Linked DNA regions of Ovis aries. The main gene of each other region encodes a partner of the protein of the gene in region 2 in a complex. Links are inferred from orthologs where the notes say so. Each region holds a gene or a part of one and is shown on either strand. Other genes may lie near its edges. The genes, in order: RTRAF and ZBTB8OS.

Evidence for each region.
Region 1: ZBTB8OS (region 2) and RTRAF share a complex: the UniProt entries of both Homo sapiens proteins name them as parts of the tRNA-splicing ligase complex. The link is inferred for Ovis aries from reciprocal best matches to the Homo sapiens genes ZBTB8OS and RTRAF.

What each region holds. Positions count from the first base shown.
Region 1 is NC_056060.1:43,077,768-43,093,325, forward strand, and holds the start of RTRAF (RNA transcription, translation and transport factor protein), read left to right. Parts: upstream 1-6,516; 5' UTR 6,517-6,621; coding exon 6,622-6,682; intron 6,683-8,432; coding exon 8,433-8,557; intron 8,558-12,647; coding exon 12,648-12,747; intron 12,748-15,558. UniProt on the Homo sapiens protein: RNA-binding protein involved in modulation of mRNA transcription by Polymerase II. Component of the tRNA-splicing ligase complex and is required for tRNA ligation.
Region 2 is NC_056055.1:234,986,120-235,000,881, forward strand, and holds the end of ZBTB8OS (protein archease), read left to right. Parts: intron 1-5,610; coding exon 5,611-5,635; intron 5,636-5,910; coding exon 5,911-6,032; intron 6,033-6,245; coding exon 6,246-6,328; intron 6,329-7,568; coding exon 7,569-7,621; intron 7,622-9,067; coding exon 9,068-9,104; intron 9,105-10,508; coding exon 10,509-10,595; 3' UTR 10,596-11,324; downstream 11,325-14,762. UniProt on the Homo sapiens protein: Component of the tRNA-splicing ligase complex required to facilitate the enzymatic turnover of catalytic subunit RTCB. Together with DDX1, acts by facilitating the guanylylation of RTCB, a key intermediate step in tRNA ligation.

The DNA.
Region 1 (15,558 bases), on a different chromosome or scaffold from region 2:
TAGTGAGTTGGCCTGGTAATAATATTGAAATTTCCACCTCTGCATTTCTGAAACCATGCAAACTCTCACAGATACTCCGGGCTTCATGAGCCATGTGGTCCCTGTCACCAGCATTCAACTCTACCCTTTAGCACCAGAGCAGTCAGTGAGCACATGGTTGTGACTATGTTCCAATACCACTCTATTTAGGGACACAAAATTTGAATTTCATATAATTGCCATGTGTCATGAAATAATCTTCTTTTGATTTTTCAACTATTTAAAAATATATAAACCTTCCTTATCCCTCATGTGTACTGAGTACTCTGTCTAGAACAGTCTTGACCCTGTGTATTCATGTGGCTAACTCCCTTGCCTTCTTAGGTCTCTACATTTTACCTTCTTTTTTTTCTCTCATATTTATTTATTTGGCTACACCAGGTCTTAGTTGTGGTACTTAGGATCTTTAGTTGTGGCATGTGAATTCTTGACTGGGGTGTGTGTGATCTAGTTCCCTGATCACGGATCAAACCCAGGGCCCTTACATTGGAAGCATAGAGTCCTAGCCACTGGACCACCAAGTCCCTACATTTTACCTTCTCTGTGAGGCCTAACCTGACCATCCTCTTGAAAAATGCTACCTGTATCATTTCCCACTGCCCCTGCCATCCCCATCTCTCCTCCTTATTCCCCTTATCTGATTATGACTACCCCATAGAATTTATCACCTCCTAAAACATGAAATAATTTACTTATTTATAATCATATAGTTCATCTTCCCTTGCCAGATGGCAGGCTCTCAGAGGGCAGAGGTTTTTGTGTGAAAGTGCCTAAAAGACTTCCGGGCATGCAGGCAAGATTGAAGAAGTTTGTTGAATAATTAAACAGATGGATTAATGACCTATCAACCCCTTGGCCAACTATTAGATTGGGGTTCAGGTCATTTGATTTAAAAAAAATAGTCAATTTCTCCTTCTTGATGTACATAAAGGACTTAATTTTCAGAAATGGAATTGTCCAAGATTTACTTCCTATTGGACACTATAGGCCAAAGGACTCCTTCAAATGCAGGGGGGAAGAAAAGACAAATTTTTGTAAATAAAAAAGTTGAATGCTTATAATCTTCTATACTTCTTTTCCAGGATTAGTTTTAGCCCCTGCTCGAGTCTGGTGGTTCCTGCAGCATTCTGTGTGTCTGAATCCTCTTCCAACCTTCTCACACCTGGGGGTGATGACCAGGGAGTTTCAGGTGGCTGATAACTTTGGGCCTGAAATAGAGAGACATGGTCAGGAGCAAAAAACTTAGTGTTTTGCACTAAGGAGTCAATTCCAAAAAGCAAAATTTAAAAGCTGCTTATCCCCACTCTTTAAAGAAATGCACTATCTGTAGTTGCATTAAGCATTCCTTTATTATTTTCCCTTTGTTTATGGGTTCTGGTCATTTTTCTTAATTTTTGGCTGGTACCTCATTAATTATACAATTAGTATAAACCACAGTGTGTGACTAGGGCCACAGCTCTGATCAAATTTTGTTTGAGGCAAAACACTTGGAGGTGATTTTCCTGATTTATTCAGTAAACATCTTATTTGGAAAATATAGATTTTTTCACAGTTCCTCCTTAAAGCTGTATTCTGACCTGATAGCACGCTTTGCACTTCTCAAAATGTATCACTTTATAACTGTAGATCATAAGCACTTATTTACATGCATATTTTTGCTTTTATACTTGAACTTCCATGTGTAGAGTCTTCTCTTGTGTTGTTGGAAGAGGGTGTTTGCTATGACCAGTGCATTTTCTTGGCAAAACTCTATTAGTCTTTGCCCTGCTTCATTCCGCATTCCAAGGCCAAATTTGCCTGTTACTCCAGGTGTTTCTTGACTTCCTACTTTTGCATTCCAGTCCCCTATAATGAAAAGGACATCTTTTTTGGGTGTTAGTTCTAAAAGGTCTTGTAGGTCTTCATAAAACTGTTCAACTTCAGTTTCTTCAGTGTTACCGGTTGGGGCATAGACTTGGATAACTGTGATATTGAATGGTTTGCCTTGGAGACGAACAGAGATCATTCTGTCGTTTTTGAGACTGCATCCAAGTACTGCATTTCAGACTCTTTTGTTGACCATGATGGCTACTCCATTTCTTCTGAGGGATTCCTGCCCGCAGTAGTAGATATAATGGTCACCTGAGTTAAATTCACCCATTCCAGTCCATTTGAGTTCACTGATTCCTAGAATGTCGATGTTCACCCTTTCCATCTCTTGTTTGACCACTTCCAATTTGCCTTGATTCATGGACCTGACATTCCAGGTTCCTATGCAATATTGCTCTTTACAGCATCGGATCTTGCTTCTATCACTAGTCACATCCACAACTGGGTATTGTTTTGGCTTTGGCTCCATCCCTTCATTCTTTCTGGAGTTATTTCTCCACTGATCTCCAGTAGCATATTGGGTACCTAATGACCTGGGGAGTTCCTCTTTTGGTATCCTATCATTTTGCCTTTTCATACTGTTCATAGGGTTCTCAAGGCAAGAATACTGAAGTGGCTTGTCATTCCCTTCTCCAGTGGACCACATTCTGTCAACACCGAAATCAGATTGATTATATTCTTTGCAGTCAAAGATGGAGAAGCTCTATACAGTCAACAAAAACAAGACCAGGAGCTGACTGTGGCTCAGATCATGAACTCCTTATTACCAAATTCAGACTCAAATTGAAGAAAGTAGGGAAAACCGCTAAACCATTCAGGTATGACCTAAATCAAATCCCTTATGATTATACAGTGGAAATGAGGAATAGATTTAAGGGCCTAGATCTGATAGATAGAGTGCCTGGTGAACTATGGAATGAGGTTCGTGACATTGTACAGGAGACAGGGATCAAGACCATCCCCATGGAAAAGAAATGCAAAAAAACAAAATGGCTGTCTGGGGAGCCCTTACAAATAGCTGTGAAAAGAAGAGAGGTGAAAAGCAAAGGAGAAAAGCAAAGATATAAGCATCTAAATGCAGAGTTCCAAAGAATAGCAAGAAGAGATAAGAAAGCCTTCTTCAGTGATCAATGCAAAGACATAGAGGAGAACAACAGAATGGGAAAGACTAGAGATCTCTTCAAGGAAATTAGAGATCCCAAGGGAACATTTCATGCAAAGATGGGCTCGATAAAGACAGAAATGGTATGGACCTTACAAAAGCAGAAGATATTAAGAAGAGGTGGCAAGAATACACAGAAGAACTGTACAAAAAAGATCTTCACGACCCAGACAATCATGATGATGTGATCACTAATCTAGAGCCAGACATCTTGAAAAGTGAAGTCAAGTGGGCCTTAGAAAGCATCACTACAAACAAAGCTAGTGGAGGTGATGGAATTCCAGTTGAGCTGTTTCAAATCCTGAAAGATGATGCTGTGAAAGTGCTGCACTCAATATGCCAGCAAATTTGGAAAACTCAGCAGTGGCCACAGGACTGGAAAAGATCAGTTTTCATTCCAATCCCAAAGAAAGGCAATGCCAAGGAATGCTCAAACTACTGCACAATTGCACTCATCTCACATGCTAGTAAAGTAATGCTCAAAATTCTCCAAGGCAGGCTTCAGCAATACGTGAACCGTGAACTCTCTGATGTTCAAGCTGGTTTTAGAAAAGGCAGAGGAACCAGAGATCAAATTGCCAACATCCGCTGGATCATGGAAAAAGCAAGAGAGTTCCAGAAAAACATCTATTTCTGCTTTATTGACTATGCCAAAGCCTTTGACTGTGTGGATCACAATAAACTGTGGAAAATTCTGAAAGAGAAGGGAATACCAGACCACCTAACCTGCCTCTTAAGAAACCTCTATGCAGGTCAGGAAACAACAGTTAGAACTGGACATGGAACAACAGACTGGTTCCAAATAGGAAAAGGAGTACGTCAAGGCTGTATATTGTCACCCTGCTTATTTAACTTATATGCAGAGTACATCATGAGAAACTCTGGACTGGAAGAAACACAAGCTGGGATCAAGATTGCCGGGAGAAATATCAATAACCTCACATATGCAGATGACACCACTCTTATGGCAGAAAGTGAAGAGGAGCTAAAAAGCCTCTTGATGAAAGTGAAAGAGGAGAGTGAAGAAGTTGGCTTAAAGCATTCAGAAAATGAAGATCATGGCATCCGGTCCCGTCACTTCATGGGAAATAGATGGGAAACAGTGGAAACAGTGTCAGACTTTATTTTTTTGGGCTCCAAAATCACTGCAGATGGTGACTGCAGCCATGAAATTAAAAGACACTTACTCCTTGGAAGAAAAGTTATGACCAACCTAGATAGCATATTCAAAAGCAGAGACATTACTTTGCCAACAAAGGTCCATCTAGTCAAGGCTATGGTTTTTCCAGTGGTCATGTATGGATGTGAGAGTTGGACTCTGAAGAAGGCTGAGCGCCGAAGAATTGATGCTTTTGAACTGTGGTGTTGGAGAAGACTCTTGAGAGTCCCTTGGACTGCAAGGAGATCAACCCTGGGGTTTCTTTGGAAGGAATAATGATAAAGCTGAAGCTCCAGTACTTTGGCTACCTCACGCGAAGAGTTGACTCATTGGAAAAGACTCTGATGCTGGGAGGGATTGGGGGCAGGAGGAGAAGGGGACGACAGAGGATGAGATGGCTGGATGGCATCACGGACTCGATGGACGTGAGTCTGAGTGAACTCTGGGAGAATGTGATGGACAGGGAGGCCTGGCATGCTGCGATTCACGGGGTCGCAAAGAGTTGGACATGACTGAGTGATTGAACTGAACTGAACTGAACTTGAACTTCCTGAAAATATCTAACTCATTTGTAGGCCCCACAAATGCTAACACAGTGTTTAATTATAATCTGTTGAAATGAAATTTATATAATTGGCTTACCCCCCAAGAACTTCAATAGTTCCCAGTAGCATGGCATGAAAGATCCTTCTTGCTCAGGTCCTTGCCTCTGTCCAAGTCTCATCAGCTGTCATTCTGTCCTACCCTCCAGCTCCCATAAGTTCTAGCCCCCCTGGGCCATGCCTTGCCTTTGTATATCCTCTTCCCTCAAGACAAGTTACCCTTTTGACTGCATGGTGAACTTACCACCTTCAAGTCATAATTTAAGCTTGTTTGTCTGTTTATTGCTTTTCTTCCCTCTAGGGCTTATAAACTTCATAAAAGTAGAGGCTTGGTCTCTCTGGCTCACTGTTGTCTGTCCAGTATCTGAAAGCAGATGGGGACTGAATCAGGAAGGATCTTAAATATGATAAGGAGTTTTGATGATTGCTAGAAGGCAATGAGGACCCACTGAAAGATACTAAGCATTAAACTGTTATGGACAGGTTTTTGTTTTAGGAGGTTTTTATTTTACAAAATCACTATCATTGCTGTGTGGGGGAGTGGGCTGGAGAAGGCAAAACTGGCTCTAAGAAATCAGATAATTAGAGCAAGCAAAAATTATGAATCCCTGATTTGAGGTAGCAACAGTGAGGTTGGGAAGAGGTGAGGAATTTGAGAGGCAGAACAGCAGGAATCAAGGAGCTACTGGATGTTGTAACTGCAGTCAGAGGGAGTAAAGGGTAAGTCCAGGTTTCTGGCTTCAAAATTTCGTGGTTGCTAGACATGTCAGGAACTATCACGTAGTATTACAGTTGTATGTTTATCTATGGACCACTCCTAACAAGTCATGTGTATGCATACTCAGTCGCTTCAGTCGTGTCCGACTCTTTGCGACCCTACAGACTGTAGCCCGCCAGTGCATGGAATTTTCCAGGCAAGAATACTGGAGTGGGTTGCCATTTTCTTCTTCAGGGGATCTTCCCAACCCAGGGATCAAACCCAGGTCTCTTGCATTGGCAGGCGGGTTCTTCTACCACTAGCGCCACCTGGGAAGCCGAAGGAGTCATAAAGTGGTGGTTTGAGTGAGTGAAGTCACTCAGTCGTGTCCGACTCTTTGTGACCCAGTGGTCTGTAGCCTACCAGGCTCCTCCATCCATGGGATTCTCCAGGCAAGAATACTGGAGTGGGTTGCCATTTCCTTCTCCAGGGGATCTTCCCGACCCAGGAATCGAAGCCAGGTCTCCCACATTGCAGGCAGATTCTTTCCCGACTGAGCCAGGAGGGAAGGCCCAGTCATAAACGGACCTTGCTAAAAGTCTTTGTATTAGCCTTGTTAGAAGAGCACCTATTATGTAGGAGGCATATAATTAAATGAATGAATGAATGAATACACTGAAAATACTAAACAGTTTGTATGGTCCAATAAGAGGTATGGCCCATAGCAGAAATTCTAAGGATACTGTTCTTTGCGTGCTGTTATCAAGACCGCGAAGAAAGCAAGCGGTAACTATGTTTCTCAGTTGCTCTCTGCCTATTGTACAACTAGAAAGCTGACAATAAAGTTTATTTAAGCGTCGACGTGCCCCGACGTGGCCCCGCCTCCCCAGCCAGAGCCGCGATTGGTGGGCATTGTCCAGAGGCTGCCGTTCCTAAGCCACGATTGGCTAAGGCCGCCGTCATTTCGGAGCTCCCGGTGCCCGCCCGCCTTCTCGTCGCGTCACCCGTGTCTGCGCCTCCTGCTTCTCCTTGCCTTGCCTCGCCTCGCCTCTCCCGGCCGCATCCCGGGGGACCGGAGCGAGCAGCGGGGACCATGTTCCGACGCAAGTTGACGGCCCTTGACTACCACAACCCTGCCGGCTTCAACTGCAAAGGTGAGGCGGCGGCCCCGGGCCCGCAGCGCGTCCGTGACCGGCCGGCCGCCGCTTTCTCAGCGCCGGCTCCTGGGCTCTCCACCCGGACCGTCCGCGGCCTTGTCTCCCCGGCGCCCCTCTCCTCTTGGCCCCGAATACCTCTGCTTTCTCCCATCCTTCCTTCTCCGCTACCCACTCTTGCCTCGGCATCGCCACTTTCTGCACTTGCTAAACTCCAGACACCACCCCCACAGCCCTCGCCCGCGCCCTCAGCACTCTAGAAGGAAAGTCTTCGCTTTTTAACTTAGCCCTTCAGCCCCGTGTTTCACGGGTGATTGGGCGATACCCTGAGCACCTGCTGGGGTCGGCACAGTGCTGGAATTCGAAGAGAAAAACCGAGTAACTTGAAGACTCGTTCAGGGAACTAAGGAGGGGAGGGATTAGGAATAAGGGCAGTTAGAACCCATCCAGTAGTTTGAGCCCAAGACAAAAATGAAGTCCAAGACAGTGTTGGGGTGAGCGCGTGTATTAACGAGCTAATTACAGTGTGGGGGTTGTGGGGGGGGGGAGTTAATAGATGAGCGGGGCGGTTGAATTGTAAATACAAAGGTGTTTGGGATTTCACAGCTTGAAACTGTAGAAAGTATTAAGATTGCTACCCACTGCTACTCACCTGTCGCCCACGACTACTTATTTTCTTCCAGAATTCTTGGCCTGTGGTAGATTAAGTTTGAAAGGGATCACGTAACACCTGGGATGTTAAGACCATTGTGTATTCTCAAGACTTGGGGAAGCTGGAATTTGAACTCAAGCTTGAACTTGAAAATTGAAGATGATTTCCAAGCAGGATGACAGTGTTTTGTCATCTCCTGTAGAAGCATGTCATCTTACAGAATCTTGTTTTTCTGCTTTGCCTTTTATTTAACAAAAAAGGTTCAGTAGGAATAGAGCTTAGATATGGTTTTGAAACTTTGAGCCTCAACTTTTTCACTGGTAAAATGGGGATATTACTTACCTCAAAAGCATATGGAAGGATTAAATGAAACCACATGCACACTATTTCATGAATGTGTTTAATGTCCTTAATAGCAAATGACAGTGATAGTCGGTATCCTTGTTGTGATCGCCATTTAATTTCTTGTACTTTATTGTTGCTATTAATTTAACCTTGCACAGTCCATTCTCCCCCTTTTCCTCACAGGAACTGAAATAATAACTGACACTTAAGTAGCAAAATTGTGTGCCAGGCACTGTTTTTATTGTTATTTTATTAAATCTTTCATAACAAGCCTATGAGGTAAGTCCCCATTTTGTAACTCAAGAATCTGAGGCACAGAAAATTTAATTAGCCCAGGTTCACACAACCACTAAATTTCTGGAGCCAGAATTTGAATTTGGGCCAGAATATGAACAGAAGTTAATTCAAAGTCTGTACATTCAACTCCTACTTCAAGCAGCTCAAGTAATTTATGATTTTGCAGTTTAAAAAAAAAATTCCACAAGACTGTTTGTGGAGAAGGAAGTGTTTTACCTAGTGCTTCTCATGGGCTTCCCTTGTGGCTCAGCTGGGAAGGAATCTGCTTACAATGCGGGGAACCCTGGGTTCGATCCTTGGGTTGGGAAGATCTCCTGGAAAAGGGAAAGGCTACCTCTTCCAGTATTCTGACCTGGAGAATTCCGTGGACTGTATATAGTTCATGGGGAGGCAAAGAGTCAGACACGACTGAGCAGCTTTCACTTTCTTGTGATTTCTATGGTGTTTTTATTACAGATGAAACAGAATTTAGAAACTTCATTGTTTGGCTTGAAGACCAGAAAATCAGACACTATAAAATTGAAGACAGAGGTAACTTAAGAAACATCCACAGCAGTGACTGGCCCAAGTTCTTTGAACAGGTAATGAATTAGAAAGTAAAATATACCAAGAGCTTGTCTATGAAGACAGCTTTTAAAATAATATAATTTTTCTTTTAAAATAATATAGCTGAATAAAATGGATGTTTTATTTGCAGGGCAGGAAGAGAGATGCAGACTTAAAAAACACTTGAATACAGCAGGGGAAAGAGAGGGTGGGACAGACTGGAAGATTAGGATTGATGTATATACACTGCCATGTGTAAAGTAGATACTGGGAAGTCAGTGTATATAGTGCAGGGAGCTCAGCTCGGTGCTCTGTGATGACCTAGATGGGGGATGAGTGGAATGGGGGGTCGGGTAGGAGGGAGGTCTAAGAGGGAGGAGATACACACACATACACAGGCATAAGTAAGTCATTGACAGCAGAAACTAACACAACATTGTAAAGCAATTATACTCCAAACAATAATAATAATAATAATCAGTGTTAGAAAAGCTTGATTTCAGGGATGGAATTTTTTTTTTTTAAGCATATTCTCTCTTCCTACCAAGCATTCAGTATTAGATAGAAATAGTATGGTGAACCATCAGGCATGAGGGCGGGGGCAGGGGTATAGGGGATAAAGAGTTTGATCTTGATGGAACTAGGGAGCTCTCACAGTTTTAGGTGATATGACTGGACTAGTGTTGCCACTCCTCAGCTTTCCCAACCAATCCCTGGCTTCTCGAAACTGTCAGCATTAAGGTAATGTATCTGGAGAGCAGGCCTTTATCCCCAGTACTTAGATAAGTGCCTGACATTCAACAGAAGGATCTGTTTCTTTCATGAAAATATATATTTATAAGTGTGTATTTGTATACATATATGTTCTGAATATAAATGAGTGATTGATATGTCAGTATTCATTTCTGCATTTTCCCTATAGCAAAATTTATTCAAATCTTCTAGGGCCCTGTACCTGACTAGCAGGCTGCCCATTGAAAACAAGCTTTATAAACTATTAACTAATAAAAGTAATGGCACAGTTAGACACTCAAAAGAAATAGTGTAGTCCAAAAAACAAAGAGACTTCTTAATTAAACAGTGATACATATTATATAAATAGTAAAAATGGCCAAAATAAGATTTTTTACATTACATTAAAATGTAGCAGAAATAGTATTATATTAAAATAAGACATTATTAACATGATTGTAAACTAAGGTTCTCTTGTGTTTTCTTATATTTAATATACACAGTTCTCCTTTGTTGTGTACTATAGAAATAATACTTTTTAAAAAATGGTATTATCTTATTTTTGTGGGTGGAATAACTTTTTCATTGACCTAGTTTAATTTTAGTAACATTTTTGCAGAAAACAGTTTTTTTCAAATTAGAATAAAAATTACATTTTACAGTGTCATTATATTAAACATTTTATCAGCTCTGTTACTTTGATGAGATCTTTTCCTTTAAGAATTTGAAAATGATGATGTATGGCAAAACCAATACATACTGTAAAGTAATAACCTCCAATTAAAATAAATAAATTTATATTTTTTAAAAAAATTTGAAAATGATTTAATTTTTCATTGACTGGAGCAGAGTGTTTAGGTAGCTAACTTTCTCCTTTTGTGGACTAGGGAACTATGTAAGTTACATACTATCTCTGTGACAGTGAGTAAGTTTATTAACCTTTCTGTGGCTCTAGATTTTTATCAATAAATGGGGATAACAGTGGTATCTTAGCTCAGGAGTGGCATATTGTTAATGAAATATACCTTCAGCCTGTCACAGAGGTGCCTGGCCCATCGCAAGTGCTATATGTTTGTTGATATTCCTGCTTCTGCTACTAATACTGGTACCACTAGATCATTTTCCTTTACCCTTCAAAACTATATTTTGAAATTTTTGACAGACTTGTTAAGACTTTGAAATACATTATTAGAATTTTATATTTGCTTTTATCACATTTTACTTACTGGTCTACTTGTGTACAAGACGATACAGAGTTCCACATGTAGGAGGGTGTTGAAGAATAATAAACTTTCCAATGAAAAAGACCCAGAAATGACAGTAAAGTAGTATGACCTAAAGATAAATATATTGGAACTCTCTTTGGAATGATGATGTCATTGCTTAAAGCATATTTAGAACTTCTTTTGGAATTACTTTTAGATCAAGAGACTTATTTTGAATATTGGCAGTTTTTTTATGCTTTGAAGGTGGGTTTGCTTTTTGTATCATGACTAAATCTTGTGAATGAGGTGCCTTTTTTTTTTTTATAGAAGCAGGTGAATAACATTTTTGGTTAGAAAATAAGTTATGGTTAAAAAGTGCTGATTCATTAGGTATCCACCAAAGGATTTCCAGAAGGTTTGAGTTATAGCATTGTTGTGGGATTAGATTTTAAGCTCCTGAGATATTTACTTTAAGGACATGCTCATTTGAATATATTGCTTCTGATGTTTATTCAAAACACCAGTGTGTCACATAGCTTACTCTGTTGGACGCGTTCCAAAATATGAAAGCTAAGGTTTAGATAATAATTGGGTTTTGCACTCTCAGACATAAATCACAGCAGGATCCTCTATGATCCACCTCCCAGAATTCTGGAAATAAAAGCAAAAATAAACAAATGGGATCTAATTAAAATCGAAAGCTTCTGCACAACAAAGGAAAATATAAGCAAGGTGAAAAAACAGCCTTCTGAATGGGAGAAAATAATAGCAAATGAAGCAACTGACAAACAACTAATCTCAAAAATATACAAGCAACTTATGCAGCTCAACTCCAGAAAAATAAACGACCCAATCAAAAAATGGGCCAAAGAACTAAATAGACATTTCTCCAAAGAAGACATACGGATGGCTAACAAACACATGAAAAGATGCTCAACATCACTCATTATTAGAGAAATGCAAATCAAAACCATAATGAGGTGCCACTTCACACCAGTCAGAATGGCTGCGATCCAAAAATCTGCAAGCAATAAATGCTGGAGAGGGTGTGGAGAAAAGGGAACCCTCCTACACTGTTGGTGGGAATGCAAACTAGTACAGCCACTATGGAGAACAGTGTGGAGATTCCTTAAAAAATTGCAAATAGAACTACCTTATGACCCAGCAATCCCACTTCTGGGCATACACACCGAGGAAACCAGAATTGAAAGAGACACATGTACCCCAATGTTCATCGCAGCACTGTTTATAATAGCCAGCACATGGAAACAACCTAGATGTCCATCAGCAGATGAATGGATAAGAAAGCTGTGGTACATATACACAATGGAGTATTACTCAGCCGTTAAAAAGAATTCATTTGAATCAGTTCTGATGAGATGGATGAAACTGGAGCCGATTATACAGAGTGAAGTAAGCCAGAAAGAAAAACACCAATACAGTATACTAACACATATATATGGAATTTAGGAAGATGGCAATGACGACCCTGTATGCAAGACAGGGAAAGAGACACAGATGTGTATAACGGACTTTTGGACTCAGAGGGAGAGGGAGAGGGTGGGATGATTTGGGAGAATGACATTCTAACATGTATACTATCATGTGAATTGAATCGCCAGTCTATGTCTGACGCAGGATGCAGCATGCTTGGGGCTGGTGCATGGGGATGACCCAGAAAGATGTTATGGGGAGGGAGGTGGGAGGGGGGTTCATGTTTGGGAATGCATGTAAGAATTAAAGATTTTAAAATTTAAAAAATAAAAACTAAAAAAAAAAAAAAAAATTGGGTTTTGTTTTTTGATACATATTTTTATTTAACTACTCTGTGTATTGAGACCTAGAATCATATGGTTTAGATTCAGGTCCCTGATTTCAGTTGTGTAACTGTCAGGAAGTGTTGACCTATAGGCTTTGGTTTTCTCATCTACAAAATGAAGTTATCGTAGATCAGTGATACCCTGTCTGCAATCTGCAAAAGTAAAACTTTCATAAACCATGATGGAAGTACTTAATTTTTTTCCTAAGTAGTATATGCTTAAATGGGTTATATAATTGCATCAAAGGTTTAGTAATATAAATGTTGCAAGAAATTCTTAAGAGATACAAACTCAGGTCTCTTAATTCTACCGTGTTTTATTTTGTGACTTTATAGTAACAATGAAGCAATTTTCTTTTTCCTTCACAGTATCTCAGAGATGTTAACTGTCCTTTCAAGATTCAAGATCGACAGGAAGCAATTGACTGGCTTCTTGGCTTAGCTGTTAGACTTGAGTATGGAGATAATGGTATGTTTTGTGGGGAATATATTGTTTCAGAGAGAAAGGGTGGGAAAGGGGGTTAAAAATGTAGGGAACTTGCCCGTTTGTCTTAGATTGTTTTACCTTTGATTCATTTTAAGTTTTGTACATCCTCATCTCACTTTGCAGTATCTGATTAAAATTTTACTTTTTGTTTGTAGTCATTCTGGATTTTCTCTTTTAGAATTTGAAGGTGATGTCCTCTCACAAAGTCACATCACTTCAGTTAATTTGCCGGCTCGGCACAGTCTGGACCTTAGCCTTCAAGTTCACTTTTTGCTACTGTCCCAGAATTAATAGGATTTCAAGTCTTGGTTGCAGCAGCCAGTTTCACTAGAGACTGAAATATACATCTAATGCAGATATGCACAATAAGCCAAAATATATTTATTATTCATGTTTAACATTATTTTATTACAGATACTGATATCATTGGAAGATTTTGAATATTAATACTTATTGTGAAAATAGTTTTCCAATAAACCATTTTCTCTCATTAGGCCATTTCATTTTGAAAGGCCTGTTAACATCTAAATGTAAGATCCGATTATCTTATTTTATCTCCATCTTCTGCATTTATGTTGTTCTCTTTCTTGCGACTATCAGTTCCAGTCTTAATCATTTGCTTTTGAAGCCTTTTTAATGCCTTTTGTTGTTTAGTCTTTAAGTCATGTCTGACTCTTTGGGAATCCATGGACTGTAGCCTACCAGGCTCCTCTGTCCATGGAATTTCCTAGGCAAGAATCCTGGAGTAGGTTGCGAGAAATGCTCCAGATTTGGTTTCAGCGTCTTTGGCCCTCTTTTCTTCCCATCCATCTTTTCCTTTGTCTGCTGTATCTTTCATTCTGCATCTCCACTGCTGTCACCCTAATTCTAGCTCTTGTCCCTTTCTCCTGAGATTATCGTAACACCTTTCATAGTAGTCTCCCATCTGTGTCACCCTCTGTTTTCATCCACATAGCCCCCAGCAAGCTAATTTTTTAAACATAAATGTTTTAGGATGCTACACTTTGTCTCCAAAGAATAGTTCCTTTTATATGTTCACAAACACCATTGCTTTCCCATTTTCTACAGAAGGAATTCCAGGCTCCTTAGCATGATATTCAAAGCCTTTAAACTAGTATTCATATACTTGCCACCCCAGCCAAACTGCAGTAATGCTGTTTCCTCTTTCCATCTCCTTTTTTCCCCCTTCTTTCTTTGCTTTCACTTTTCCTTTGGCTAATATGCCATTTCAGTCTGTCTGTCCTTGTAAGATCCAGCTCAAATGCCAGCTAGCAGCAATGATACTTACTTCTTAACTTTCATAACTTTTACCTCAATACCTTTTTAGATCATTTTCACTTTCCATTTTGCTCGTCTTACTGGCCTCACTAAATTGTAAGCTGATACTCAGCCTTGTTTTCTACATGGTACCTCTGTGAATTTCGTGTTGCTGCTGTAACATATTGCCATGAACTCAGTGATTTAAAAGACAGTATCTTACAGTTTTGGAGGTCAGAAGTCCAACACCTGTATCAGGACTAAAGTCAGTTTGTCGACAGGGCTGGTTTGTTTTGGAGGCTCTAGGGGAGGATTCATTTCTTTGTCTTTTCCGTCTTCCGGAGGCTGCCTGCTTTCTGCTCCCTTTGTCTTCGAGTCTAGCTGCATAGCAAGTTCTAATCTCTGTAATTCTGCTTTCATTGTCACCTCTTCTCTGACCTTCCTGCCTCCCTCTTCTAAGGATGCTGTGATTTCATCGTGCCCACCTAGATAATCCAGGGTAATCCGCCACCCCCAGTTTCAAGGTCCTTAATTCAGTCACACCCACACAGTCCTTTCTGCCACGTAAGATACCATATTCATAACTTCTAGGGATTGCAGTATGGCCGTCTTTTGTGGGGAGGGAGCAGTCATGATTCTCTCTGCCACAGTGCCTGGTGTAATTTCTTGTGTACAATAGATGTGCTTATCAATTTTAATAAATCCTTGGTAAGTGCAGTATATTAACGTAAGTACAGGTATTTCTCAGTGACAGCATGGTTTCTTTTAATGTGTAAAAAAGCTGAGTTTGTATCTGAAACACTGCCCCTTATCAGTAGGGGGCACTGTTGCTCTCTTATGGCTTTACGTTGGTGAGTTCATTCTTCTTGACTTTTAAGTTATTTAAAATTTTTATTTTTGATAAATTATGAATTTTTATTATTTATGCCATAATATTTTGTAAAGCCTTTAGCTTGCTTGTCAATTAAGGTGGTTAAAAGCTAACTTAAGTTCTTCTAACTTTTTTTGATAATTTAAAATTTACAGATATGTTGCAGGAATAATAAAAAGAATTATTACATACTCAAATTCTGCAGGCGTTATTAACATTTTACTTCATTTGCCTTATCCTTTTCTGTGTATTCACATACTCCTAATTTTTTTCTAAACCATCTGACACTAAATTGTAGATGATTTCTCTTTTAAGTACTTAAATGCACATTTCCTAAAAGAAAAAGTCATTGTCTTACATAGCTGCAGTATGCTTATCATAATCAGATTAACTTTGATTCTCTGCTGTTGTCTGTAGGTATTACTCACATTTCAGTGTTTGTCTCAGTAATGTTCTCTACGGCAAAAACAAGCGAATAAAAACCTCCAGAGCAATCCTGGATGGTGTGTTTTGTTCATTCTCGTTCATCTCTTGTGTTCATTCTCCTGCACTCCGGAACGATTTACTCAGTCTTTGTGCTTTAGGACAGTGACGTTTATTTTGTAGAATGTCCTTCAGTTTGGGTGTGTCTGATGGTTCCTCGTGGTTGGGTTGAGAGTTTGTAG
Region 2 (14,762 bases):
TCACATTGCAGGCGGGTTCTTTACCGTCTGAGCCAGCAGGGGAGTCCCACATCCATACAAGACTGCTGGAAAAGCTATAGCTTTGTCTACACAGACCTTTGAGGGAGTTTTACTGGTGTATTCATTGTGAAGAGAGCCATGTTTTGAAGTGTTTTGTGTAACCACCCCCATCCTCATCTATCTCCAACAGTCCTGTAGTTAGAATGTGGCTAGGGTAGAGGATAAGAAAGTTATAAGTAGAGGACTACTAATGTCTTACTTGTATCCTGTGTTAGTAAAAGGACCTGGTTTGCCATTTGTAGCTTAGTGACTTTAGGCAAATCACATAACCTCTTTTTGCATTCTGTTCCTTCCTGTGAGGGCAAAATGAGATAATAATAAATGTGAAAATATAGTGCAGATTCTAAAGTTAGTCTATATAAACGTTAAATTGTTAGCCCTAAAGGTGGATGTGGTTTGGGAGCACAAATTTGGCTCTTATTTCCCCTCTAAAGTTCTTTAATTAATTTCACATTGTTCTCTGTATGCTGGTGTTTAGTTGCTAAGTCCTGTCCAACTTTTTTGACCCCATGGACTAGAGCCCATCAGGCTCCTTTGTCCATGGGTTTCCCAAGGGAAAATACTGGAGTGGGTTGACATTTCCTTCTCCAGGGGATCTTCCCAGCCCGGGTCTTGGAAAACCGTCTCCTGCTTGGTAAGCAGATTCTCTTATCACTGAGCCACCTGGGAAAGTCCTCTGTATAGAGTACAACTATTTATCATAGCATACTAGGCTCTGTACTTTCTAGACCCTGCGTGTCTCCCTAGCTCATTTTTCTCTTCAATCAATTCAGTCACTCACTCAGTTCCAACTCTGCAGCCTCATGGACTGCAGCACACCAGGCTTCCCTGTCCATCAACAACTCCCAGAACTTGCTCAAACTCATGTCAATCAAGTTGGTAATGTCATCCAACCATCTCATCCTCTGTCATCCCCTTCTCCTCCTGCCTTCAATCTTTCCTAGCATCAGGATCTTTTCAAATGAGTCAGTTTAGTCAAAGTATTGGAGTTTCAGCATCAGCCCTTCCAATGAACATTCAGGACTGATTTCCTTTAGGATTGGCTGGTTGGAACTCCTTGCAGTCCAAGGGACTCTCAAGAGTCTTCTCCAACACCGCAGTTCAAAAGCATCAATTCTTCGATGCTCAGCTTTCTTTATAGTTCAACTCACATCCATATATGACCACTGGAAAAACCATAGCCTTGACTAGACGGACCTTTGTTGGCAAAGTAATGTCTCTGCTTTTTAATAAGCTGTCTAGGTTTGTCATAGCTTTTCTTCTAAGGAGCAAGTGTCTTTTAATTTCGTGGCTGTAGTCACCATCTCCAGTAATTTTGGAGCCCAAGAAAATAAAGTCTGTCATTGTTTCCATTGTTTCCCCATCTAGTTGCCATGAAGAGATGGGATAGGGTGCTGTGATCTTTGTTTTTTGAATGTTGAGTTTTAAGCCAACTTTTTCACTCTTTCACTTTCCTCAAGAGGCTCTTTAGTTCCTCTTCTCTTTCTGCCATAGGGTGGTGTCTGAGGTTATTGATATTTCTCCCAGCAATCTTAATTCCAGCTTGTGCTTCATCCAGCCTGGCATTTCTCATGATGTACTCTGCATATAAGTTAAATAAGCAGGGTGACAGTGTATAGCCTTGAAGTACTCCTCTCCCAATTTTGAACCAGTCTGTTGTTCCATGTCTGATTCTAACCATTGCTTCTTGACCTCCATACAGATTTCTCAGGAGGCAGGTAAGGTGGTCTGGTATTCCCATCATTTTTCTCTTTTGATTCAGAATTCAAAAAGTATGACAGGTATGCAGTGAAAAGTCAGCTCTAATCCCAGGCCCCTTGGTCTTGCTTTCTAGATCAGCCAGTCATAACATTTTCATATGTGTACATGCAAAAATGTACTTTAATTTACTCAGTTTCTAGTTGGTGGACATTTACATTTGTACTCGTTTGCTATTAGAAATAATGCAGCAGTGAATACCTGTACATCCATTGTTTGGCACATGTGCATCTGTAGAATAAATTTCCAAAAGTTACATTACTTTGGTAAAGGGTATCTGCATTTTATCAGTATTTTTAAAAATTGGAGTATAGTTGATGTACTGTGTGTGCTTTGCTCAGTTGCTGAATCATGTCCGATTCTGTAACACCATGGAATGTAGCCCACTAGGCTCCTCTGTCCATGGGATTCTCCAGGCAAGAATACTGGAGTGGGTTACCATTTCCTCCTCCAGGGGACCTTCCTGACCCAGGGATCAAACCCACATCTCTTGGGTCTCCTGCACTGGCAGATGGATTCTTTACCAGTATACCAGGTGGAAAGCCCCTAGGTGATGTACAGTGTTGGTTAATTTCTGCTGTACAGTCAAGTGATTCAGTTATATATACTCTTTTTGATACCTGCGTTTTAAACTTCAGTAATTATTGTGAACTCACTGTCTGTTGAAGTGTCACCAATTTATACTCTCAGTAGCGTTGTATGAGTGTGCCTCTTTCCTCACACCCTGTGATTTCATATACCATAGTTTACTTTTGTTTGTTTTAGAGTTTTGTATAAATGGAATCACATAGTACTCATTCTTTTATATCTGGCGTCTTCACTGAGTATCACTGATAAATGTTAGACATTGAAGTGGTGAGTGGACTTTATTCAGTAATTATGGACAGCAGGGGAAAGAGCTGAGATCCCTTTGGATTTGTGCAGAGGAGATTGGACTTTTTAAAAGAAGAATGAGAGATGGGGGAGAGCAGGGGTTTCAGTAGAGACTAGAAATGAAAAGTTACAAAAGCATGGTCAGTGTAAATGTCATTGGAGCAGCAGTGTTTGCTAGCTGGCAGTTACCAAGTTAGAATTCTCTCCCACGGAGCCTGGAAGTTCTTCCTGATGATTACATTTCAGAGGAATGGGAAAGATACTTCTGAGTTGTAAGAGATAAGTATCACAGTCGTAAGCCCTTTTTAGTGAATGCTCTGAGAAAGGGAGGTCAAGGACCTATTGTCAGGGGTTGTTTCGGAACAAACGATAAATTCTCCTACAGTGTATAGCTTTCTCAGGCAGGCATTGTAACGGTGGGGCCATGATGATCCTAGGTACACAGGCTTAAGCTGCTAGAAACCACGCTAAAGTTGGTCAGGTCTCTTAGTGCAGGGAGTTTGGATGGAGATATGTGTGTGAGAGTTCTGCAGCTTTCACTTGATGTTTTTGAGACTCTTGTTAATGCAGTATCACTAGTTCATGCTGTTTTATTGCTGAGCAGTGTGGCATAGTAATCCTCAGTTTATTTATTCATTCTCTTCACAAACATTGGGTTTTTAATTTGGAGGAGTAAAGTTGCTGTGAACATTCTGCCATGTCCTTTTGTGGCCACATACTTTCATTTCTCTAGCATTAAAATGTTGCTTTCCTTTAACTTGTTTGTCATCTCTGCTGGTCATTGAGCCCATTAGTGTCTAAAATGTACTGAGGCTTCAGTAGTATTTTGAGTAAATCAGAGGTGAGCTTAAACCCTGAGTGTTACCAGAAGAAGATGTGTTATGATGTAAAGGGCACTAAACTGGGAGTCAGAAAATCTCAGTTCTAGTCCCAACTCTCATCAGCAGTATGGTCCTAAACAAGTTATACAGTCTCTCAGGATTTCAGGTTTCTTCTTGTAATTGGAGGATTTCTGTTAAATGATCTCTGAGGTTTCATTCTAGCTTGAATATCCTATGATCTTAAGTAGGAGGAATAGATGGGAGTCAGGGTTAAGAGTGAAGAATAGACTCTGAAATACTAAAATAACAGATCCACAGATTACACAGCCGCAGTTGTTACTTCCTGGCGTTGCTGTGAGACTATCAGGAAAAAGCTTGCAATACGTACTGTGGAGTTTACTTTTTAAAACTATTTAACTGACCAAGGATATCATGAGGATTCCTTCAAATGCAAGAAATTAACAAAGATAAAACTTGACTCTTGTTAAAAATAAAAGCCTGTTTTGTCTGGGATTTGGCTAGCTGTTCATGAAAAGGTGAGAACGGGAAATCTGGAATTTTATATCTTTGATGACGTAGTTTCTAGAATTTTGGCCATTCATGAACAGAGGAGCCTGGCAGGCTACAGTTTATGGGGTTGCAGAGTCAGACTAAAATCATGGCATCTGGTCCCGTCACTTCATGGGAAATAGATGGGGAAACAATGGAAACAATAGCTGACTTTAATTTTCTGGGCTCCAAAATCACTGGAGATGGTGATTGCAGCCATGAAATTAAAAGACACTTGCTCCTTGGAAGGAAAGTTATGACCAACCTAGACAGCATATTAAAAGGCAGAGACATTATTTTGCCAACAAAGGTCCGTCTAGTCAAGGCTATGGTTTTTCCAGTGGTCGTGTATGGATGTGAGAGTTGAACTATAAAGAGGGCTGAGCACCAAAGAATTGATGCTTTTGAACTGTGGTGTTGGAGAAGGCTCTTGAGAGTCCCTTGGACTGCAAGGAGATGCAACCAGTCCATCCTAAAGGAGATCAGTCCTGGGTGTTCATTGGAAGGACTGATGCTGAAGCTGAAACTCCAATACTTTGGCCACCTGATCCGAAGAGCTGATTCATTTGAAAAGACCCTGATGCTGAGAAAGATTGAGGGCAGGAGGAGAAGGGGACGACAGACGATGAGATGGTTGGATGGTATCACTGACTCAATGGACATGGGTTCGAGTAAACTCTGGGAGCTGGTGATAGACAGGGAGGCCTGGCATGCTGCAGTTCATGGGGTCACAAAGAATTGGACACGACTGAGCGACTGAACTGAACTGAAAGAGTCAGACATGACTGAGGACTAACACACACACAAGTAGATATTAGGAAAGATATTGATTTGTTTTGTTGGGGAATGTAACTAATAGCAGGAAAGGCATTTGTTTATTGAAAAACTATGATGTATTAGTGAAGTAGGAAATGGCAACCCACTCCAGTATTCTTGCCTGGAAAGTTCCATGGACAGAGGAGCCTGGTAGGCTACAGTCCATGGGATTGCAGAGTCTGACATGACTGGGCACACACACACAAGAAGTGTGTGTACTGTAGTACACACTTTGGAGATCACCTAGAAGACCATGGCCTTGCTGCCTTCCAGAAACTATCATTCATTTATTTAGTTAGTTAGTCTTTAGGTTTTTTGGCCTCGCTGCAGGGCATGTGTGATCTTAGTTCCTCAACCAGAGATTGAACCTGTGTGTGGAGGCCTAATAACTACTGGACTGCCAGGGAATTCTCATCATTCATTTAAATATAAATCTTGGCTTTAAAAGAAATAACCCTGTATCATCAATATGCTAATGTTATATAACTATTCTGTTACTTAATATTAGTTCATTCATTTAATATTAATAGAATAGTAACTGTAAATGCTTAGAAATTTTTAAAAATAAACCTTAACAATGACTTTTGTGTAAATGGTTAGTGAAAGGTGGATGGTCAACCTACATTTTCTTGTTCTTCAAGAATGATGTTCTTAATAATAATCTAGAGTCATTTTCTTGTGATTTGCAAGTCAAGTCTAGTTACTTATTATTGTTTTTTCCTCTCTCCCTCAGATTTGGATCATACAGCCGATGTCCAGTGAGTAGAGCTGGAGTTTATGCCTTTGAAATCATGTGCTTAACACAGGAAGACTAATCTTTTAATCTTGCAGTCCCTAGTTTTAGTTTTTCTCCTCTGTTTTGTTTTCTTTAGAACATGAAAATGATGGTTCAAAAGCACCTGGTTTCAGTGTCATTAAATTGATTGAGGCCTTTGCTTTTGCATTTACAGTGTTGATTTTACTTAGACTTTGCTGTCGAGTTTTCTGTCTTGCAGTGAATCATATTACACAAGGCACGAATGCCTTTCTTTAGGTTACATGCTTGGGGAGACACTCTGGAGGAAGCTTTTGAACAATGTGCAATGGCCATGTTTGGTTACATGACAGATACTGGGACTGTGGAGCCCCTGCAAACAATAGAAGTAGAAACCCAAGGTAATCAATTTGTTCACAAGGAAGAAATTGCTATGCAAGTGTTCAGATGCTATATAATTTCAGTATACACTTACAGGAGGTACAACAAAGTTGATTATGAGCTTGTTCTTTCAAGGAGCCTAAGAAATTTATTGCACTGTAAAATTCAAACAAGTTTTCAGAGATGAGAATTATTAAATACCGTTCTTTATGGTTCTTTCTGACCCTGTGTAGGCGATGACTTACAGTCTCTTCTGTTTCACTTTCTGGATGAGTGGCTTTATAAATTCAGTGCTGATGAATTCTTCATACCCCGGGTAAGCAAGTTTTTATTTTTTACTGAACAAATGGATTTTGAGTCCATATTTTAGAGTAAAACTAGTGATTTAAAACAGAACATTCTATTTAAAATAGAATATATGATGTAAAATGAAACCATTCAGATATGCAAGATGATGACGTGCAGAAATTATGGTGACCATAGGCCCTAGGTTAACTGGAGTTTGCCTATGTATGTGCGTCTCGCATTTAGATCTCATACACTTGCCACTCACTCACTGTTATCTTGAGTCAGAAGAATGCACATACTCTCTTCTCTGTCGGCATGTTTTATGTCTCTCAAGTTTGAGCTTTTTAAATGTTCGTCCATAAGTTCCTTTTGCCCATTTGATATTTAGCAGGTCTGATATGTTCTTATTGTTGTTTAATTGTTCAGTGGTGTTTGACTTTTTTCTCGAAAAAGTAGCCTACCAGGCTCTTCTGTCCATGGGATTTCCCAGGCAAGAGTACTGGAGTGGGTTGCCATTTCCTTTTTCAGGGGATCTTCCTGACCCAGGGATCAAACCTGTCTCCAGCATTGCAGGCTATTCTTTACCCCTGAGCCATTGGTGCTTTTAGGGAATTCCCTGGCGGTCTGCTGGTTAGGACTCTCACTGCTGATGGCCGCCTAGCTGGGGAACTGAGATCCTGCAAGCTGTGTGGTACAGCCAGAAAAAAAATGGTGCTTTTGGTTTCCTTAATGTGAAAAGGGAAAAGCCAGATGGAGGTTACTTTTTGCCATCAGCCTCCAGAAGGGAACACCTCTGCAACCTTATTGTTACTAACACACCTGGCCTTCCTTGCTCCATAATTCCTCCATTTACTCCCTTACCAGCTCCACTACATATATTCTTCTAACTGGGTCATTTGTCCTACAGAGTTCAAGAGTCTATAATATTATATAAAAATAGGTGGAAAGTTTTATCACCTCTAAATCCATAGAGCTGAAAAAAACCCCAGAATGATTGAAATCCTAGGTCATCCTCCACTATGTATCTTACAGAAAAATTCTCATGACTTATACTTTAAATTGTACATTTTCAAGAATACCTCCCTTGAATGGGTAAGAAAAAGCCTTATTTTCTTAAAATACATAGTTTGTTGTTAACATTGTAATTTTCTTTGCTTCAGAGAAGTTGTATGCTATTATCTTGGAAAAGTGATAACCTTGACATGTTTTAATAGCTGGTCTATTATGAACTTCTATTAAAATTAAAAGAAAACTTTTTTCTTCTTTAGGAAGTCAAAGTACTTAATATCGACCAAAGAAATTTCAAAATACGGTCAATTGGGTAAGTTTTGAAAACCTTTTAAGTTACAGGTCATGTAAAATGTTAAGTTACAGTCTTCAGTGTACTCAGTGAGCAGGAAGACAATAGAAACATTAAATCAGAAGACCAGTTGCATCCCTGTAGGGCTTTGCAGGTTAAGCTTGGTGAGCCACCTAGGAGCAAGGGTTCACCTCAGCTTTGGAGGACCAGAAACTTGTCAGGACACAGGTGATTTGAATTGGTAAACAGAATTCCCAATTTGTTGATTTTTAACACACAAAAAATATATCATTGATGGATGGCGCAGATATTTGCATACAACCTCGCTTGGTGATGAGAAATGCTGATGTAGCCTTTCTTATAGATCCTCACACCTAGACTCCATTCAAACCAGTTCCTTCTATTAACAAGTTATACTTTTCCTTCCTGAGTTTGCAAACGCTTGATTAGGGCACTTTGATTGGATTTAGTGTTTTCCAAGTTTCTTTAGTCATCTAATGATCTTTTAGGTTACTTTTATATAAAACTTATCTTTTCCATTTTATGTTGAATTTTTTACGTTTCTTTTGTAAAGTGAGATCTTTTATTATCTCCTACTCCTTTTTTTTTTAATGAATAAGTAAACAGAGTTGTCCAAGGGTAATTAACTAATAAATAGTTGAACAGAGTTTTAAAACTATGCTCTTTCTGATACTGCTACTGCTTTTACTACTGTGAACTTCAGCTACTTTAGTGTTGAAGGGAGAGAGGATACTCATCTCAAGTTCTAGGAGACTGAGTACCCTTCTAGGGCCTACTAGGTACATACCATGGCCATTTTTTGAAAAGTCATAAAATACAAACTTAAGTTCAGATCGTATTATGGAATCTTGTATTTTGCCTTTATGGTGCTCAGACCTGCTTTCTCCAATGGAAGATATTATTTAATCAGTTCTATAGCCCTGAGTACAGTGAAAATTTTGAACATGCTCCTCTATTATGAACCAGTATTCATTAAACAATGTTATTGAGAGTCTACCTATGTACACTGTACTATGCCATGATCAACCTTGTTGAAAAGGATATCGTACAAGTTCAGTAGCTGTATCTGCTGACCATCAAACTGAAATTGATGGCTCCCTTCTCCCTTCATCCCTTTAGGCTTTCTAGTATCTTATGCGTGTGTGCTCAGTTGTGTCCGATTCTTTGTGATCCCATGGTCTGCAGCCTGCCAGGCTCCTCTATCCATGGAATTTTCCTTGTAAAATTACTGGGATGGGTTGCCATTTTGTCCTCCAGGGATCTTTCTGACCGAGGGATTGAACCCACATCTGTATCACCTGCATTGGCAGCCGGTTTCTTTAACACTGAGCCACCTGGGAAGTCTGTATCTTAACCACATTTATAAGGCTTATCTTAAAACGTAGAAAGAGAGAATAAATGTTAAATCCTGGAAATCTTAATCATGTTTTACTCTTTCTTCTCAAGGTGGGGAGAAGAATTCTCATTGTCCAAGCACCCTCAGGTATGTTTTAAAATCCAGCCATTAAAAATAGTTTATTTGACCTTACCGTAAAAAAGTCAGTATATGTTACAGCTAACTTACTAGTTCTCATAAGTTGGTATAAACTCCTAAATTTTTCCCAGACTAATATGACCTGTCTGGACATGTTATGTTAAAACCCTGGAATTTCTGATTTGGAAGATTAGGAGTCTGCCTTGGGCTATAGGGTCAGGTTTGTTACAGAGTGTTTTGGGGCTGAAGAGTCCCTTTCCCTTTTTGAGCTTTCATATCTTTCCCTGTAATGAAGATGTTGGATAGGATGTTCTCTAAACATCCAGTGTTTTGGATACTAGAAAGCCTAAGAAAAGGTGTTCTCTTTTGTGCTTCTCCAGATTCAGTATTTGCCAGTGTATTTGGCTTCAGTGTGTACTAGTCAAATCTGTTTGAATAGGGGTAGGGTGTTTTTTTCCTAATGTTTTGTGCTTTGTGGACTGATAACGATAGAAGAGCAACTATTCTACTCATATATAGCACTAAACAGCCATGGACAACACCTAAATGAATGAATGTGAATGTGTTCCAGTAAAGTGTTTTTTTTCATTCCCCTCCCCCGACTACCATTTAGAAATATAAAAGCTATTCTTACAATTGGGGCTTACATTTATGTGTGGAGCTGTACAAAAATAGGTGGGAGGCCAATCTGACCTTTAATTTGTAGTTTGCTGACCCCTGTGTTTAGGCCAAGAAGACTTAAATTCATTGGAGTTGACTGAGAAATCATGTAGTAGCTTCCAGCAGCTGCAGCAGCATTTCTTCAGTGTAATAAAATGAAGCTTCGTGAGAGAGCCTCGGGGCAGAGAAACTTAAGGACAGAAACCAGTAGAGGTGGAGCATGTGGATTAAAAACAAGTTATTTTTATAATATAAATTACAGTAGCATTTTCTTTTGAATGTATTATGTTTGAGATGCCTATTAGATATCTAAATAGAGATGTTGGATAACAGTAGGCATTTGTCTGTAGAGAAGGGAATAGGCTGAGTTCCCAGGGCCCAGTCTAGACAGTACAGAAGAGGAAGCCTTAAGAAGGAGCCCTGACCCAAACAATAAAAAAGCTTTGTGTTCTTGGAGTCAACCCATTTGGTAAATGTAAAGGCTGGTGCCCAGAGGGGTCAGACAACTTCTGGTCCAGGTGCAAACAAGCCAGGATTATAGTATGCTCCATCTCCTAAGTCAGGTCAGTGCTTTTTCCTGTGTACACGTGTCTCTCATTTTTACTGGTTCAGTGGATAATACTATATCATTTGATAACTGATTGTTTCATATGACTTTTTTAGAATAACATTAAAAGTTTTACTTTCTGCCAATTGTTACTAGAGTTAATGGTTCTGATTTCAATGTCTTTTTTTTTTTAACCCCAACTTTAGGGAACTGAAGTCAAAGCAATAACGTACTCAGCCATGCAGGTCTATAATGAAGAGAAGCCAGAAGTTTTTGTGATCATTGACATTTAAGATGACAAAAGAGAGAGAGAGAGAGATTCCTATGAAGAACTGTTTTTTTCTCTTCCTTTTGACAAGATACCATGATATAAACTCTACATGGAGAATTTATATATGGAGTTTTGCAGAACAGAAATTGTTGACTTAAAATGTGACTTTCAGAAATGAAAAATCAAGGTACAACCTTGGTCTTTGTTACCCAAATAATCAAATTTTAAATAATTCTCTAAGTGGCAAGCATGGCTTCTCCTTCATTAATTCCCCTTTGTAGCAGCAGGTGCCTTACACCTTTCCAACGGAATGCACAAGTCCTCCAGCCTGGTCCCAAGGACGATCATTGATGTAAGAGCAGCCTGAGAGACTCTGAAGCCCGTGTACTCTTACTGAATGCACCTTGGAGAAAATGTAATTTGAGAAATCCTACAACCAGTATTTTGCTTTTTTTCCAAAGTGGTTAACACATATATTTTCTATATGTACATTAAAACAGGTTGTGTTTTGGATTGCTATGGGACAGAGCCCAATCCTGTACTCCAGTTGGTTTTCTTAGATGAAATAATTATATTTGAACAATTGGAAGGCTTTTCTAGAAACAGTCCTGATTTACTTTCACTTTTTTTTTAGCACTGATATACTGACACTTTTTCCCGTAAGATAAAACCTGACGCATATACAAATGGGCCCTTCTTCCTAACATACAATTTTATATTAAAGCCAGTATATTTATACAGTTAGAGAAAAGGAGAATTTTTTTTCAAGTTTCTTTGGTTTTTAAAAATTACCTTAAGCTCTTCATTTCTAAGACGATAAGAGGCCAGGAAAACAGCTTTAAAATGATCTGAACTTTTCGAAGTAGATAACTTTGAAAAAAATCAAACTGCTTTCATTTGACTTGCAGTATTATTCCATTCTCTGTTCATGGATTGAGGTAGTCTTCCTTGTAAAGTGAAAGTGAAGGCGCTCAGTCGTGTCCGACTCTTCGCGACCCCATGGACTGTAGCCTACCGGGCTCCTCTGTCCGTGGGATTTTCCAGGCAATAGTCCTGGAGTGGATTGCCATTTCCTTCTCCAGGGGATCTTCCCAACCCAGGGATTGAACCCGGGTCTCCCGCATTGTAGACAGATGCTTTACCGTCTGAGCCACCAGGGAAGTTGCTATTTATTCACATTAGTGAGAAAAGATTACCACTGGGTGGTGTCAAATATCATTGCATGAACTTGATCTACAAGATGGTCTGTGAGCTTTCTACGTGTTCTGTCTGAGCACCTCCTTATTTTTCTCCGGGGATTTAGCACAAAGACAAGGACAAGAGCCTATGGTTTGGATAGTTAGCTCTTCAAGGATCGCTGAGGTAGCACTCCTTCACCTTTCTTAGTCTCAGGCACATTTTGTATGTTCATTGATTGATTGATCGGCCTCACCAAGTGGCTTTCGGGATCTTAGTTCATTCTAGCTCAAGTCACTTTTCCATGCTGCCTTCCTAACTACTCAAGGTTCAGGGATCTTTGAACTTACACCTCTTTACTTAGCTTTAAAGATTTGGGCTTCCCAGTTGGCTCAGTGGTTAAAAAAAAAGTTGCCTGCCAGTGCAGGTGAAACAGGAAATTTGGGTTTGATCCCTAGGTCGGGAAGATCCCCTGGAGAAGGAAATGGCAACCCACTCCAATATTCTTGCCTGGGAAATCCCAGAGGAGTCTGGCGGGCTACAGCCCATGAGGTCACAAAAGGGTCGGACATGACTTAGCGACTAAACAACAGCAACAAAAGATTTGTAGGCTTATTCAGTTTTACTTGTTTCATGTTCACTAGTCTGCTGCCGCTGCTGCTAAGTCGCTTCAGTCGTGTCCGACTCTGTGCAACCAGGCTCCTCTGTCCTTGGGATTCTCCAGGCAAGAACGCTGGAGTGGGTGTTCACTAGTCTAGATGACACATAATACACATTACTACTCAGTGGTCAGTGGACTAAGTCTCTCAGAGCGCCGTCACTTTTAGCAGAGACCACAGATCAGCTGCTTGAGCATGTCTATAAGAACGCTGGAACTGTAGGTCACAATCTTCGATTCCTAGCCTTTGCTCTCCTGCTTGACCGTGAACCTATTTCCTCATCTATGTATGAAAGGTGTGCATTAGTGATTCCTCAGTTTCTTTCCAATTTTAAATGTCTGGGATCTAGTAATATATTTTAAACAACTGAGCTGAGGGAGAGAAGATACGTGGAACGACTGGAACAGTCGTTTAGCCTAAAAGGTCCAAATCACACCATCTAGGTCTGCTACTGGAGAAGGCAATGGCACCCCACTCCAGTACTCTTGCCTGGGAAATCCCATGGATGGAGGAGCCTGGTGAGCTGCAGTCCATGGGGTCGCTAGAGTCGGACACGACTGAGCGACTTCACTTTCATTTTTCACTTTCATGCATTGGAGAAGGAAATGGCAACCCACTCCAGTGTTCTTACCTGGAGAATCTCAGGGACGGCGGGGGAGCCTGGCAGGCTGCTGTCTCTGGGGTCGCACAGAGTCGGGCATGACTGAAGCGACTTAGCAGCAGCAGCAGGTCTGCTACTAGTCAGCCATTGTCATGGTACAGTGGTGTGTCACATGACGGCAGCTACTTCAGGAAAGCAACAGTAGTGATATGATGACTTTTTCTCACTGATGCCTTGGCTAAGTGGTTACATGTGCCTGCAACCACTCTTGTCAGTTCTCTCTCCACCTTGCTATTACCACTTGGGCTCTGGCAAAGAATGTTCAAGAAGAAAGGGTGGGAAAATAGTTTATACCCTGCTGGAAGTTGGGGAAGTGCCCCTTAGAGACTAGAATTCTGCCCCTTTCTGAAGTCTGAGCTTCAGAAGGTTTGGGAAATTCCAGACAGACTGAGAATTGAGTTTCTTCATCTAAAAAATCAGGAAATTGGAAAAGATACTCTCTGAAAGCTCCTTCTGGAAAAAACTTACTCAGAACTTATGAGCAGCCCTCCTTCCCACAACTAGAGAAAATTCTGCTCAGCAGTGAAGACCCAGCACAGCCAAAAAGAAATATTTTTTTAAAAGAACCTTATTCTGTAAAAGAAGAGAAGGGTGTTTCATGTTTGGGAACTCATACACCCGTGGCGGATTCATGTCAATGTATGCCAAAACCAATTAAAAATTTATTAAAAAAAAAGAAGGGGAGTCATTTTGGAATTATACTTGGAGCTCTGGAATTTAAACACTGCTGTGGTAACATTTTTATTTTGAGGATTTTGGGAGTGCAGTGGTTAACAGCACAAACTGGAGCCAAATCACAGGGGTGGAAGTGCTGGTTCCTCCACTCACTGTCTAACTTGGGGCATGTTGGTGAAACTCTGTGTGCTTTACTTTCCAAACTAACTATTGAAGGGTTGTTGAGAGAATTAAATGAATGTATACACATAAAGAAGAACTGACTCTTTTGAAAAGACCTTGATGCTGGGAAAGATTGAAGGCAGGAGGAGAAGGGGATGACAGAGGATGAGATGGCTGGATGGCATCTCCAACTCAATGGACATGAGTTTGAGTCAACCCCGGGGGTTGGTGAGGGACAGGGAGGCCTTGCGTGCTGCGGTTCATGGGGTCGCAAAGAGTCGGACACGACTGAGCGACTGAACTGAACTGAACTGATAACATAAAGCTCAAGAGAGTGCCTGACACAGTAATGCTAAGTGAGGGCTAGTACTGTTAAGAGGACAAGCCTAAATGCTAACAGTCCCCTTACTTTTTCACTTATTTTTTTTGGAAGTCCAGAACAGAAAAAAAAAACAGTGCTTGGTTAGGGGGTGTGACCAGCCTAAGGACAACTCTGGCAGCCAGTGCCATTCCAGTCTGTTAATTCAGAAGGGAAAACAAAGCCACTCCCTTCCGTCTTTCCTCCTGCATTCTCTCTTCCGCTTTTTAGTTTTCTTTCTTCCATATCTGGGTTGCGCTATGTTCAAAAGCTGTGCCTGTCCCTTTACGCCAAGCTAGGTGCCTTCTACAGGACTCCCTTCCATTGATTGTCCCTCCCTGATTTCCTTGCAGTTTTCAGTATTAACCATTCAAGGGCTGTGTCACAATGAGAAGAAAGATGAATCGATTACAGGGTATCTTTCTTTTCTTTTTTTATGGATGTTCCCAAGGGCTCACCCAGTGTTCTCAGTACCAGTGCAGCCCATCCACCAAAGTT